2 linked regions of the Neurospora crassa OR74A genome follow. The protein of the gene in region 2 purifies or fractionates together with the protein of the main gene of each other region. This does not show direct contact. Links are inferred from orthologs where the notes say so. Each region holds a gene or a part of one and is shown on either strand. Other genes may lie near its edges.

Evidence for each region. Proteins that work in one complex are often made in the same cells at the same time.
Region 1: the proteins of NCU02635 (region 2) and NCU03055 purify together in Saccharomyces cerevisiae (affinity purification with mass spectrometry; 4 studies listed by BioGRID, with this or other methods). This does not show direct contact. The link is inferred for Neurospora crassa OR74A from reciprocal best matches to the Saccharomyces cerevisiae genes MNN9 and MNN10.

What each region holds. Positions count from the first base shown.
Region 1 is NC_026501.1:4,354,995-4,360,806, forward strand, and holds the start of NCU03055 (alpha-1,6-mannosyltransferase subunit), read left to right. Parts: upstream 1-2,388; 5' UTR 2,389-3,420; intron 3,421-3,583; 5' UTR 3,584-3,600; coding exon 3,601-4,018; intron 4,019-4,078; coding exon 4,079-4,367; intron 4,368-4,422; coding exon 4,423-5,086; 3' UTR 5,087-5,812. UniProt on the Saccharomyces cerevisiae protein: Required for polarized growth and efficient budding. The M-Pol II complex possesses alpha-1,6-mannosyltransferase activity and is probably involved in the elongation of the mannan backbone of N-linked glycans on cell wall and periplasmic proteins.
Region 2 is NC_026501.1:3,003,473-3,009,505, reverse strand, and holds NCU02635 (mannan polymerase complexes MNN9 subunit), read right to left. Parts: upstream 4,054-6,033; 5' UTR 3,456-4,053; coding exon 2,355-3,455; intron 2,289-2,354; coding exon 2,268-2,288; 3' UTR 1,609-2,267; downstream 1-1,608. Other genes in the region: pex4 (ubiquitin conjugating enzyme), read left to right, coding at 422-590, 722-1,041; NCU02634 (hypothetical protein), read left to right, coding at 4,640-4,690, 4,816-4,885, 4,966-5,476, 5,721-6,033. UniProt on the Saccharomyces cerevisiae protein: The M-Pol I and M-Pol II complexes possess alpha-1,6-mannosyltransferase activity and are probably involved in the elongation of the mannan backbone of N-linked glycans on cell wall and periplasmic proteins.

The DNA of each region.
Region 1 (5,812 bases), about 1.4 Mb from region 2:
ATATCTAATAAGTGAGCCGTTTCTAAATGCAATTTATTATTATTAAGATATTTGTAAGTATTTGTAGATTTCTGGTCTTTGTTGAGGCCGATTTGTATGTGTACAACTGCAGCCGACGACGTTTTCGCGCAAAACCGTAACAGACCTCCTCTTACAAAAGTTCGAGGAGAGGAGACCTATATAATTGTGGGGCGGGTCCGCTGAAGCTTGTCGTTGGAGGTCATGTGATAGAGACTAACATAGAATGATGTCTTGGTCGCATTGTGAAAGCCATATGATAATTTCCAGTTGATTCATTGAAAAACGTCTTGTCTTTGGACAGGAGGAACCTGTAGTTGTATTTTAGAGGTAAGTATTTCTCCTCCTTAGAAAGGTTCGTTAGCGTGGGACTTTACAACACACTCCTCGTAATCAACCACCGTTCCACCACTTCTCATGTGCAAGAAGTTGGTATCAACTACTAAGTTGCGTTTTGGAGGCTTTACAAACTCTACTTGATTTTTCATATTGAATGTCCTTGTCACGTTGTTTTTCTGTAAGACTTTGTAGACCCTGTCACAAGAACTGCGCTAACAAACCTTTATGGATTGTATGTTGTCGATTCTGCTGTATCAATAGATGGCGGCGGTTGATCTTGGTGGCTTTGATCTAATTGATATTGAAGAAGACTTGCATCATGGATATTGAAGATGGACATGTGTTCTTCCACATCCATTATGTGTGTTTAACAAACAAACTGTCCAACCATCAGGGCGGCTAGGCCATGAGCTTGGCTTCCTCTTATTGCAGGGGCTGAAGACTATGATCAGTGTTCTGAAGCTTCTAGCAAAGATTGCCACCTACCGAGTAGCTCCAGCGTCCTCTCATTCAAGACCAGGACACCTGGGGTGGTCAAGAAAAGGAGGATCGTCAGGAATCACTCCGCCAGTTGATCCAGTTTATCGTGGGGCCCCTACGAGAGTACGTCTAGTTGGTCTGCCATCTCCGTTGATAATGCTAAAAGTTTAGTAGCCGATGGTAGGTTACCAGCGATGTTCTGCTACACGCCACCACAGTGAACCATTAAAGGTTCATGGGTACCGTAGCCATCCTCGATATGAGTTGACATCTGGAGGTCGAGATGCCATTTCTGCCATAGGTTACCACCTATCATCCAGAAAATGTATCGTCATTAGCATCATCTTAGGTAGGGATCGAGATGGCGTGCCGTGGGGTACCCCATAGTCGTTCATTAAGTGCAGACCCCCATGACCTCTATCTCCGTTGAGGACCAGGTTTGAGCGGGTGCTAGAATGGTGAAACAACGGAGGGGAGACAAGGAGATTTGACCCCCTTTAAATTGCGAACATCACCACATCACCCGCAACATTATTCGGCTCTGGCTTAGACAAGGGGCAAAAGAATCGCCCAGTTCGCCCAGCGAACCAACTCCGCGTCAGTCTTCCGTAGCGCCGGATCAGAGCCAAGAGATAACCATCTCAAGCAGGGGGGGTTGGTCAATTAGCTTTCTGTTGCGCAATCGGCCGAAGACTGCAAGCCAAAACATGTTTGTACTTTGTCCCACATCCGGTAATTTTTCTGTAACTAGTGCCCTTGGCCGGGCTGAGAGGGGGATTTTGAAAGAAAAAAAAAATCAGTCAGCAAAACGGTTTCGGGAGAAGTTGAAGGTCTCCCTCAAATTCCCCAAGTTGCTGCCCCCAAGCGCTTGATGAGTTGGATTGGAACGTTGTCATTAGCTCCTGCGTTCTGTTGCAGAGCCGTCAGGTACACTACCTACAGTACAGCCCCAGGATTGTCGAGGAAGAAAAAAAAAAAAAAGCCGAGAGTTGAAGGGGTCCAATGCCCAATGCGCTTGTACTGCCCGCCGGTACCGTGAAGGCTGCAAGGCACCCAACGAAAGCAGGTCAAGTCCACGCCCGACATCCCTGTTCAACATTAGCGTCTGCTCCCCCTTTCCATGCTTTGAAAAATTTAAGTCTAAAGACGGTGAAGGCATTCAGGAAAAGGATTGGGCCTTCCGCGAGCCGTTATCAGAACGTGTTAAGGATTCCCGCTCTAGGTGAAATTGCATGCCATCACCGTCCAGGTGTCGCAATTAGTCGCAACCACCCTGGACCGTAGTGTACTGTGTACCTAGACTCCAAGAAATAGACAGGGGTCGCAGTGAACAGGCCCTGGGTGGTGCCCTGCATGTGTCGGGGCAATCTTGGCGTGGGTAGCTGTTGAAAAGTTGGCCGCTAAAACAGAGAAAAAAAATGTTGTTGACGGAGAAAGCCCCTAGAATATCTGGGGACGGCCGGGGGGTCGCGATGAATTTGGGGAGGATGGAAGGTTTAAACACGCTTGTCCACGCTGGCCATTTAGTGGACGGGCAGGGCTGTTCTTCATCTGAAAGTGATTTTTAGCCCACGGTCACTGGAATTTTTCCATAGCTGAAACGGTCAAGAGATTCACTCTCCTAGTGAAACAATCTGCGTTGAGTTGTCTCTGAAGATCTCGTTTGTTACCTCTTCTTCCCGTCCACCAAGACACCGACGCATAATCCAAGCAACCGTTAGGTAATCGAGCGCGGCGAGCGATCCACTGAACGACATCTGCCCGGCATACAGCCGAAGGGAATCCGGGCATCTTCAAGCAACAGCTGCCCGGCTGGGTTCAAGGTTGGCATATCGTGTCCAGGTGCCGCTTCTGCAGCACCCGCCTACCATCCAGAGCCACCACAGGCGCCGGGTCTCTTCCTCCAACAGCAGCCTGCGCGCCCTGCACCCCAACCCGAAACTCGGACGTCTCCAAGACACACCGGGTCCTTGGTCCCCTTTGTCCCATCCCCATCCGTCCACATCCCCTTCTTGGACGACCAGATCCTCTCGGTTGTACCGCACGAGCACATTCAGTATTCGACAGTACACGCAGTCTGCCTTCTTTGGGTAGAGCCTAACTACCACGGACACCCATCCGACCGTACGCAGCGCAGCCACCAAGGCCAGCCAGCCCACCGTAACCACCAACCGCTACGTACCGACGTACCGTATCTCGAGTCAGGCGGCCCTCCGTTGCAACGTGGATTCAGCCGTCACTTTGTCAGTCCGTCCGTCAGCCTCTGGCTTGGGCCCTTGAGCCTCCACGGCAAGGAAGCCCAGCTACCCCCCTACACCCCTGCGCGATATCACCAGAGGGCCCATAGTGCCACCTGGTGAAGTCGCAAATCCGCAAAGCTGGCGACCCTTTCCCCCAACGGCAACGGGACCTCGTCCTCCTACAGCGACCCTCCGGCCCGCTCCCATCACCGAAGACGGTCGTCCGCCGTTAACCCTCCCAGCGAACTCCGATTGGACAATCGCCGATCTCCCTCGGGCCTCCTCCTTGGGGTTGAGCCCCATCACGGCAACTACGACCCCAACAGCCTCTCGCCCATCCCGGGTACGTGTTCTTCCCCTGTTGTCTTTTTGCCCTGTCCCACGCCCGTGACTGCCACCAGCGGTCTCACGGCCGCCGTCTCACTTTCACCCGTCTGGCCGCTGGGCACTTGTCCGATGTCATCCGCGTGTTACTGACTGTCGCTTGGTCCTTCCGTCTGCTCTAGGCACCCCGATCACTGCAATGTCGCTGTCCCGCAGTCCTTCTCCCGTTCCCGGTGGTGGCTGGGCAAGTCCAGGCCTTACAAACAACCTCAGCCCGAGCGGTCGATCGAGTCCTACCAAGGCCTACGCCGGATCCAACGGGACGCCCGTCATGTGGGAAAGGCAAAAAAACATGGGCGGCGCCGCATACCAGTCCTTCTCGACACAGAACCAGGGCTTCTTTAGCCGCCACATGCGTCGGATATCAAGTTCGCTGCCCCGATTCAAGGCCGACAACACCCATGGCGCCGAGAGAGAGAAGATTGGCCAAGGTCGATGGAACATGCCACGACTCGGCAGGATACGAGGCATCACGGGGAGGATGAGCAGGAGGACCAAGATGCTGCTAGCCTTTGCCCTCTTGTTCCTGCTCGGATACATCATCTTTTACAGCACTCGTGAGTCTTTGCAACCCCCCACCTTGGATCGATCATACAGTGACCTGACACCCTGGAAAGCTCTGGTTTACTACTACCGAAGAACATCATGGCTTGGTGGGGGTCAAAAGTTTGTCATCATTCTAGCTGCCAACGTTGGCGGTGGTGTCATGGAGTGGAAGGGCGCCAGGGAATGGGCAATCGAGAGGGACTCGATTCGCAACAAGAAGAAATACGTTGCCAAGTGGGGATACGATCTCGAGATTGTCGACATGAGCACAAAGAAACGCTATGCGCATGAATGGCGCGAGAGCTGGGAAAAGGTTGATTTCATCCGCTCCACTCTGCGAAAGTATCCCAAGGCAGAATGGTAAGTTCCCACTCTGTCGCTTCCTGGATGTGATCCGTGGCTGATTTTCTCCCAGGGTTTGGTGGCTTGACCTCAACACCTTCATTATGGAGCCATCGAAGTCTCTGCAGGACCATATTTTCGACCACATCGAGGATGTCACCTACCGCGACATCAATGAGTACAATCCGTTGAACATCTCTCACCCCCCGGCCGACCCTTACCTCGACGAACTCTCGAAAAGTCCGATTGGAGATGGCAACCCGAACTCGATTCACCTCATGTTGTCGCAGGATTGCTCTGGATTCAATTTGGGTTCCTTCTTCATGCGCCGCGGCACTTGGACGGATCATTTACTTGATGTTTGGTGGGATCCTGTGGCATACGAACAGAAGCACATGGAGTGGGAACACAAGGAGCAAGATGCCTTGGAGCAGCTTTACACTGCGCAACCTTGGATTCGGAAGAGTACGGCCTTCCTTCCGCAGCGCATGATCAACAGTTTCCCTACAGGCGCCTGCTCTGAAAAGGGCACTGATCCGCGCATACATTACGACCAGAAGGATCGGGATTTCCTGGTCAACATGGCCGGATGTGAATGGGGCCGAGACTGCTGGGGTGAGATGTACAACTTCCGCGAGCTGAGCTATCACCTCAACCGGTCGTTGTGGGAACGATTCAAGGAGGACCTCCTTTGCTGGATCTGGTTCAAGTTGACCGGAAAGAAGGTCAAGTTCTAAAACACATCACCTACAGTCTTGAAACCCTGATGCGAACGACACGATACTCACGACGTTTCTATTCGATCGCTCGAAGTTAATGTTGTGTTGAGCCCTCCACGGTACGCCGCCAGCAACTAGAGGCGGTTTGGCCGACAAATGGCGACACTACGTCTATAATCAAGTTACTTTCCATGTTGTCTTTATATAATTCTGTATACCCCAATTTTGTATACGCCTATTACATCAAAATGAGGGATGTTTGAGAAAGGAGGTTCTCTATTTCATTGCTGGAAAAAGAAAATATTCATGATAATGTTTGGTTCCCCGATCGGAAATGGCGGGGCCCTTTTCTCTTCTCGATTCTGTTCCCATTGCACTTCGAGTCACTCACCTGAGTCCTACTAGCCGGTGGGCAATTTGAATTATGGGGTGTGGCTTCTCATCTTAGACTTATGTATGGGGACGAATAATGATTGTCATGTCCAACGCCAAGTCTTCCTTGTGTTTCTATTCCGAAGTCTTCACGCAGGCTGGGTGAAGGGAAAGTGGTGGCACCAAGAGTTACGTACGGACTTTACTGTGGCTACACATATATCGCATTTGTACAAAGTAGACGAACATACGTCAGCAGCTGTCACTCCTAGGTATGGCAAAGGGATCGAGCATCAGCGACGTGTAGTAGAGGCATATCAAGGCGCATTGGCTCAATCTATAAACAGCACTTGCTGTCTCTTACATGGGTGA
Region 2 (6,033 bases):
AAGTCTATTCCCCAAAGGGCTCCCTCGTTTCTCGTCGACCTGCTCTCAGTTTCAAACGCGGGTTTACCTCTGTGGATCATTTATACTTTCATAGCGTACTACCGAGTACCGAACGACCGACCACTAGCACTGGCGCTGGCGCAACTGAAGACTCGACCTTACGGATAGCATTGACGAAGCTTGACTAATCTCGTTCGTTCGTGTCTGTCTTGCTCTTGGATAAACGAGTCGGAATCACATCAAGGCACCATCGGGCAGCTCCGTTGGAAACGCTGAACAAGGAAGAATAATTATCCCTACCAAATTGAGAGGACACTCAACTATCATACAAAGCGCTACAGAACAAACAAACCGGAGTATACGTTACATACACCACAGACAAGGATACACGCATACACAGACGTACACATATATATAAACAATGTCTAACCGCAGCGCAGCCAAGCGCCTAATCAAAGAGCTCACGACCTGGAGCAACATCGAGTCCAAAGAAGAGAAGGGCGTCGAGCGGTTAGGTCCCATCAACGACGATGAGTTGTTGATTTGGGAGGCCGTGATTAACGGGAAGGGGGTAGGTGGTGGTTATGATGGTATGTCTCTTATCTTTGGTTTTTTTTCCCCTCCCTCCCTCTTATCCATCCCCCTTTCCCTTTTCATGTTTACCTCGCCCCTTCTCCCAAAAGAGCCTCCATTGTTAACGATAACACACACAAATCTCCAGAAGGCCGCTGGCTCCTCCACATAACCCTCCCACCGACCTACCCCCTCCACCCACCAACCATCAAATTCATCACCCCCATCGTGCACGCCAACGTAGCCCTTACCACGGGGGAGATCTGTCTGGACTTGCTCAAAGAAGCATGGACGCCCGCTTACAGCGTTTTGGAGTGCGTGAGAGCCATCAGGCTGTTGTTGAGCTGTCCAGGCATTGACAGTCCGCTTAATGTGGATGTCGCGGCGCTTATAAGGCAAGGGGATCATGTGGCGGCGAGAGGGCTGGTGGAGTTGTGGGTTGAGGAAGAGAGGTATGAGGGGTCTTGAAAGAGTTGGGCAGAGGGCAGGGATAGAGGTGTAGAATGTACGGGATGGATGGAGGGGAGAATGTAAAGAAAGGGTATAGGGGGGGGGGGGGGGGGCTGGATTGGATAGCCGTGGGATGGGAAATAGACCATTGGATTTATTTTGGCTAGTAGCTCAAGCGGGCTGTGGAAGCCTCTTACATACGAAGAGCGCTTATGAGTATGTCATGTGGCTCTGCTCCCTCCAGGCAACAGATGATATTTCATGTTTCCAGACCTTATGTTGCTGTTGTAGCGAATCTTCCAACATGCCAGCCAACGCCTGTGGGCTTGGTATAGATCATTCCTGAGATATACGCTTAGATATCAGGGGCAAGTGGTATTGGTACTCGCCACAGCCACGTTGCTGCCATGTATGAACTTGTAGAGATGCACAACAACTGGACACTTGTGCAGTGACTGGTCATGGTTCCTTACTATGTATATACAAAAGAAAGAGACATCGCTCCAAATCATCGGAGATGGTCTATGCTTACTGTATTAGAAAATGGCTACGGTTGTTAGTCACAAAAGAACAGAACAGAGCGATATACCAACCTGTACTTGATGCCAGCAAGGAACCTAACCGCAACCCCTTACTTTTCATTATGCTATTAGTTTAGGAAAGATGAACTTCAAAAGTCCCCTATGTTTCCTCGCCCATAGTCTAGTATATATCGTCAGAAGTCGTCGCTGTACCCTATGTCTTTGGAAACTTGACCAGATAAGGTTTGTTATAAGATTCCTTGCCCCGGTCGCTCAGAGCTTTTGGAGTTAGCAAAGAGCTCTTCTCTCGACAACGAGCAGACAACCTTGATCATCACACAAGGTTGCGTCTGGCACATCACACATCAGACGTGTATTTGAACCGCGCCCTCCAGCTGTGCACTTTTCGCTTCCCACATTCCTTCCCATAACCCAGAACTCATCAAAAAATTTACAAGAACTTAGAAGAACGCCACAGTTGCTGGGCCTAGCAACTCTGGATGCTGTGAAATTGAACATCTCCAAGGCAGAAAATTCCACTGTTACTAGCCAGACTCTTGCCTATGGCCTTAGGCAGCTCGAGGACGAATGAGGAATAGGACAAAGGTTGAGTAGTCATCTCTGAAGGCCCAGACACTACGCTGTCATCGTCAAAGAGAGACTGTTATTGCGTCCAGTGGCGGCTTAGGATACGCGGTGTAAAACTCGATACCGGCAAATGTTTCACTCGTTGTAGTGATAAACCTAATGTTTCAGTGTTAGTCCGACGTATCCCACCTTGACATGGCGCACAGCACACACAAGACGCACCTTGTAATTGGGCAAACCAGTTGCTTGCCAGCCCAGTCTTTTGGCCATTTTGGCAAAGCCCTCCGTCTCGATCAAGTGGTAAAAGGGGAACGCGGGGAACATGGCTCCGTCACGGTGCACCTCGGCCTTCACCAGCAACGCCGTACCTCCTACACCATCCAAAGGCACTTCGGTGTGTATATCCGCACCCGCCTCATACATGTAAGCCATCAGGGCCCGGTAGGTTGCCATGTCGGCGTAACCTTCGAGGAGAATGTCGTCCTTGCCCATCTTAGAAGCCAGCTCTTGCGCGGTCGGGCTGTCCTGCCAGTTGTTGAAGTCATAGGGCCGCTCGTCCATGGCCTTCTTTTCCGCGTTGTAAAACCGCTGGAAGCAGTTGGGCACCGTGAGCGGCTTGCTATGGCTGGCAAGATCCTGTATGAGAGTAGGAGGTGTCTCGATGATGTCGGCGTCCAACCACAACACCCACGATGTGTCGGGCCCGAGAGTCGTAAAGAGGAGCGAGTTGCGGGCTTTGGCCATGGCAGCCCGGCGTGCCTTCTGATTTGCCATCTTGTGGCGCTCGCTCTCATCCTGGGACGGGATGGGCGGGTCAAAGTCTTGTCGTAGGATGATGATGCTCTTAAACCTCTCCTTCTCGAGTCCATGCTTCTGGATCTTTGCGATCTGCTTCTGGAGCTCAATGGTGGCCGCGTTACCCTCCTTGGTCTTGGGTAGAATAAAGCCCAGTGTGATTAGCTCGTGGGGATACGAGAGCTTCAACAGGTTATCCCAGTACTCCTGGTAGAAGCGGGCCATGGGCGTAAGGACAAGGACGTTCTCGCGGTTGCCAACGGGGTCGTTTGTAATGGTGACATTGTTGAGGTTGTAGCGTGTTACTGGTGGAGGACCTGCTTTGCCGCCGACAGCGCTTGACTTGCGGAATGGTGATGTCGGCGGAGAGAGAGGATGCAACGCGGCTGTGGCCTTGCGAGCGGCAGAGAAGTCGGGAGCTGAGGGGGATACTAGAAGGTAGAGGATGACGATTACGAGGACGATGCCAACAGCGATCGTTCCCGGGCTCGTCCTCTTAAGACGAACCGGCCCCAATGGACGCGCCATGGGATGTTGGAGGATCTATCAAAGAGAAGTAATCATATAGTCGTCTGGGTTCGAAGGCGCGCGCGTTCCCGTCGTCCGTGGTTGGCTTCTTGTGTATGGCCGTGGTCTCTTTCGGTTGTGGGGATAAAAGACAATGCTATAGCACTGTTTGTAGCGCTCTTGCTCCTAGCTTCCTACGCGATAATGGGAGCTACGCGTATATATTCGTCGGCCAAATGAAGGTTGTCGAAGCCGGTGTCGGTGTTGTCCTGGACACTTTTTTAGTCGGCCACTCAATCGAGTCGGGGTCGAGGGGCGGCCAGGGGCATTGGCAACTCGAGCGGGATGGGGGAATTTAGGGGACGAGGAAAAATTGGGCTTCTGGAAAGAAGACAAGGCGCAAACCGCAAATGCAGTGGCCAGAAATGGGGAAAGGGGGTTCAGTGCAGCGCCGTGCCAGAACCGGGAAACCCCAATGGCTGCTGACATGGGTCAATGTAATCTGAAACGGTACAGGCAATTCCTGTCCGCTGGCTTTGGTCGCTCCAGCAGCATTTTGGACAGCTTCGGGTCTCAGTCGCGACTGGCAATCGTGGCAAGGCAACTGGCGACACTCTTGGTCGTGCGCAACTGTGGAAAGGAAAGTGAGAACCGAAGTGGCAGCAACGACGTCGATCCCGTACGAAGCACTCCACCAGCCTGCAACTGGACTTCTCCAACTCCAAGCCGGGGGCTTTCGTTAGGTAGGTTGCTAGGCGAAGCGGAGGGACAGGCAGCGATTGGAGACCCTCTAGACTACCTCTAGGTAGGTATGTAGGTACATCTAGTCCTTAGGTGGAGGCTACAGGGCGACCTGGGAACGCCATCTGCCGTCAAAGTTGCCCTGGAGGCGCAGAAGGGACGGGATGGAGAGGGGGAGGGTGGGGGATGCCGGCCAGCAGCTGTCCTGGGTGACGGCACCTCAGCGGCATCGGCAGCCCACGTCAGAGCAACTGTAGCCTTGCACCAGTGCCTCTAGCTCCAGGTGCCGAGCTCACATTGCGGATTGCCTCTATCGTACCTCGAAGCAGCAACATCATCAACCACGAAATCCGAGCTTCATCGAGCCGACTGTTTCTACTCTGACCTGACATCCCCTTGCCGGCTTCGATTTCCCACCTAGCCACACACGCTTTCCACAACCGACACCAGCGCGCGCATCAACCATGCCGATATCACCCATTATTACGTTCAAGGCGGGCATTTGCGACGTAGATGTTCGTACCACCCTTCCTCCCAGCTTCCCCCGCCCACCATGACATCCACTTTTCTCGGCCACTTTGTCGCCTGTCCTCGCCGACTAGTCTGGTTATTCCAACGAAACTAACATTCATATCCACAGCAAACGTCGAAGCCGTACAAGGTCACGCCCCAAGCCAGGCCCGGCTACATCTACCTTTACTCCGACGATGGTATGTGGACCATGAACTCCAGCTAGTGCTGTGGGAGCCGACTCCTTTCCGTGACACGAGCTGACCATTTCATGTTGCAGATTTCATCCATTTCTGCTGGCGCCCTAGAGATGCCCCTGCGGACGAGCCCGAGCTCGACCTCGTCATGATCCCCGAGGACGGACACTTCCTTCCCTACGACACCAAGTCTCCTGCCCAGGCCTCCGCCAAGACCAACGGCCGTATCTTCTCGCTCAAGTTCTCTTCCTCATCACAGCGCCATATTTTCTGGCTGCAATCGAAGCCTCAGAGTCCTAACGGCGACCCGTCTTTCCTGAGCCCAAGAGATCTGAAGATTGGAGAGATCGTGGACAAGCTTCTGCAGGGCTACGAGGTGGATGTGAACAGGGAGCTTGCTTCACTCAGCAGCGGCGGTGGTAACAACCGCCGAGACGATGATGACGACGAGACAATGGAAGACGTCGAGGGCCACGGAGACCCCAATGCCCACCACGAGGGCGGTACTGGCGGCGCTGGTCCCGACGCCACTGGTGGTGATGTCAGGAGGGAGGGCGAGGACGCCAGAGAAGGAGGAGCAGATGGAGCAAGAGCGTAGGTGCTGTTTTCCCGTCACATGAGTTTTGGGAGTTTGGGTTGCTTTGGCGCGCACATCATTTGATCTACTTCAACCAAACATGAGCAAGCTATGGCGCAGAGGGCAACAAGAACGGTGCAACTGTATTGTTACTTGCTAGATGGAGGCACTAAAATTTGACATGCACATGGCGTCCCTCTGCTTTCCGCAAAATTGCGTCTCCGATGCCATTACATGTGCTAATATAGTTCTCGTTGACAGGGCAAATGCTACGAATGCCGAGGCGGATGCGGCTGCCGTTGTAAGGAACTTCCTCGAGTCCCTGAAAGGCACCCAAGGGCGTGCCGGAGGCCAAGCCCAAGCCCAAGGCAAATCCTACCCTTTACTCAACGATCTTCTTGAATCCTCAGTTACGATTCCGATGCTTGATTCCGCCACCGACGAATATGTCGACAACCTTTTGAACTATCTACCCCCAACCGTCATTGTCATGTCTCAGCAAGGTGCCAGCGGTACTGATGCCATCGAGGTTGAGCCTAGTGCCGCGTCTGTTGAGGCCGCTCGGCAGGCTATG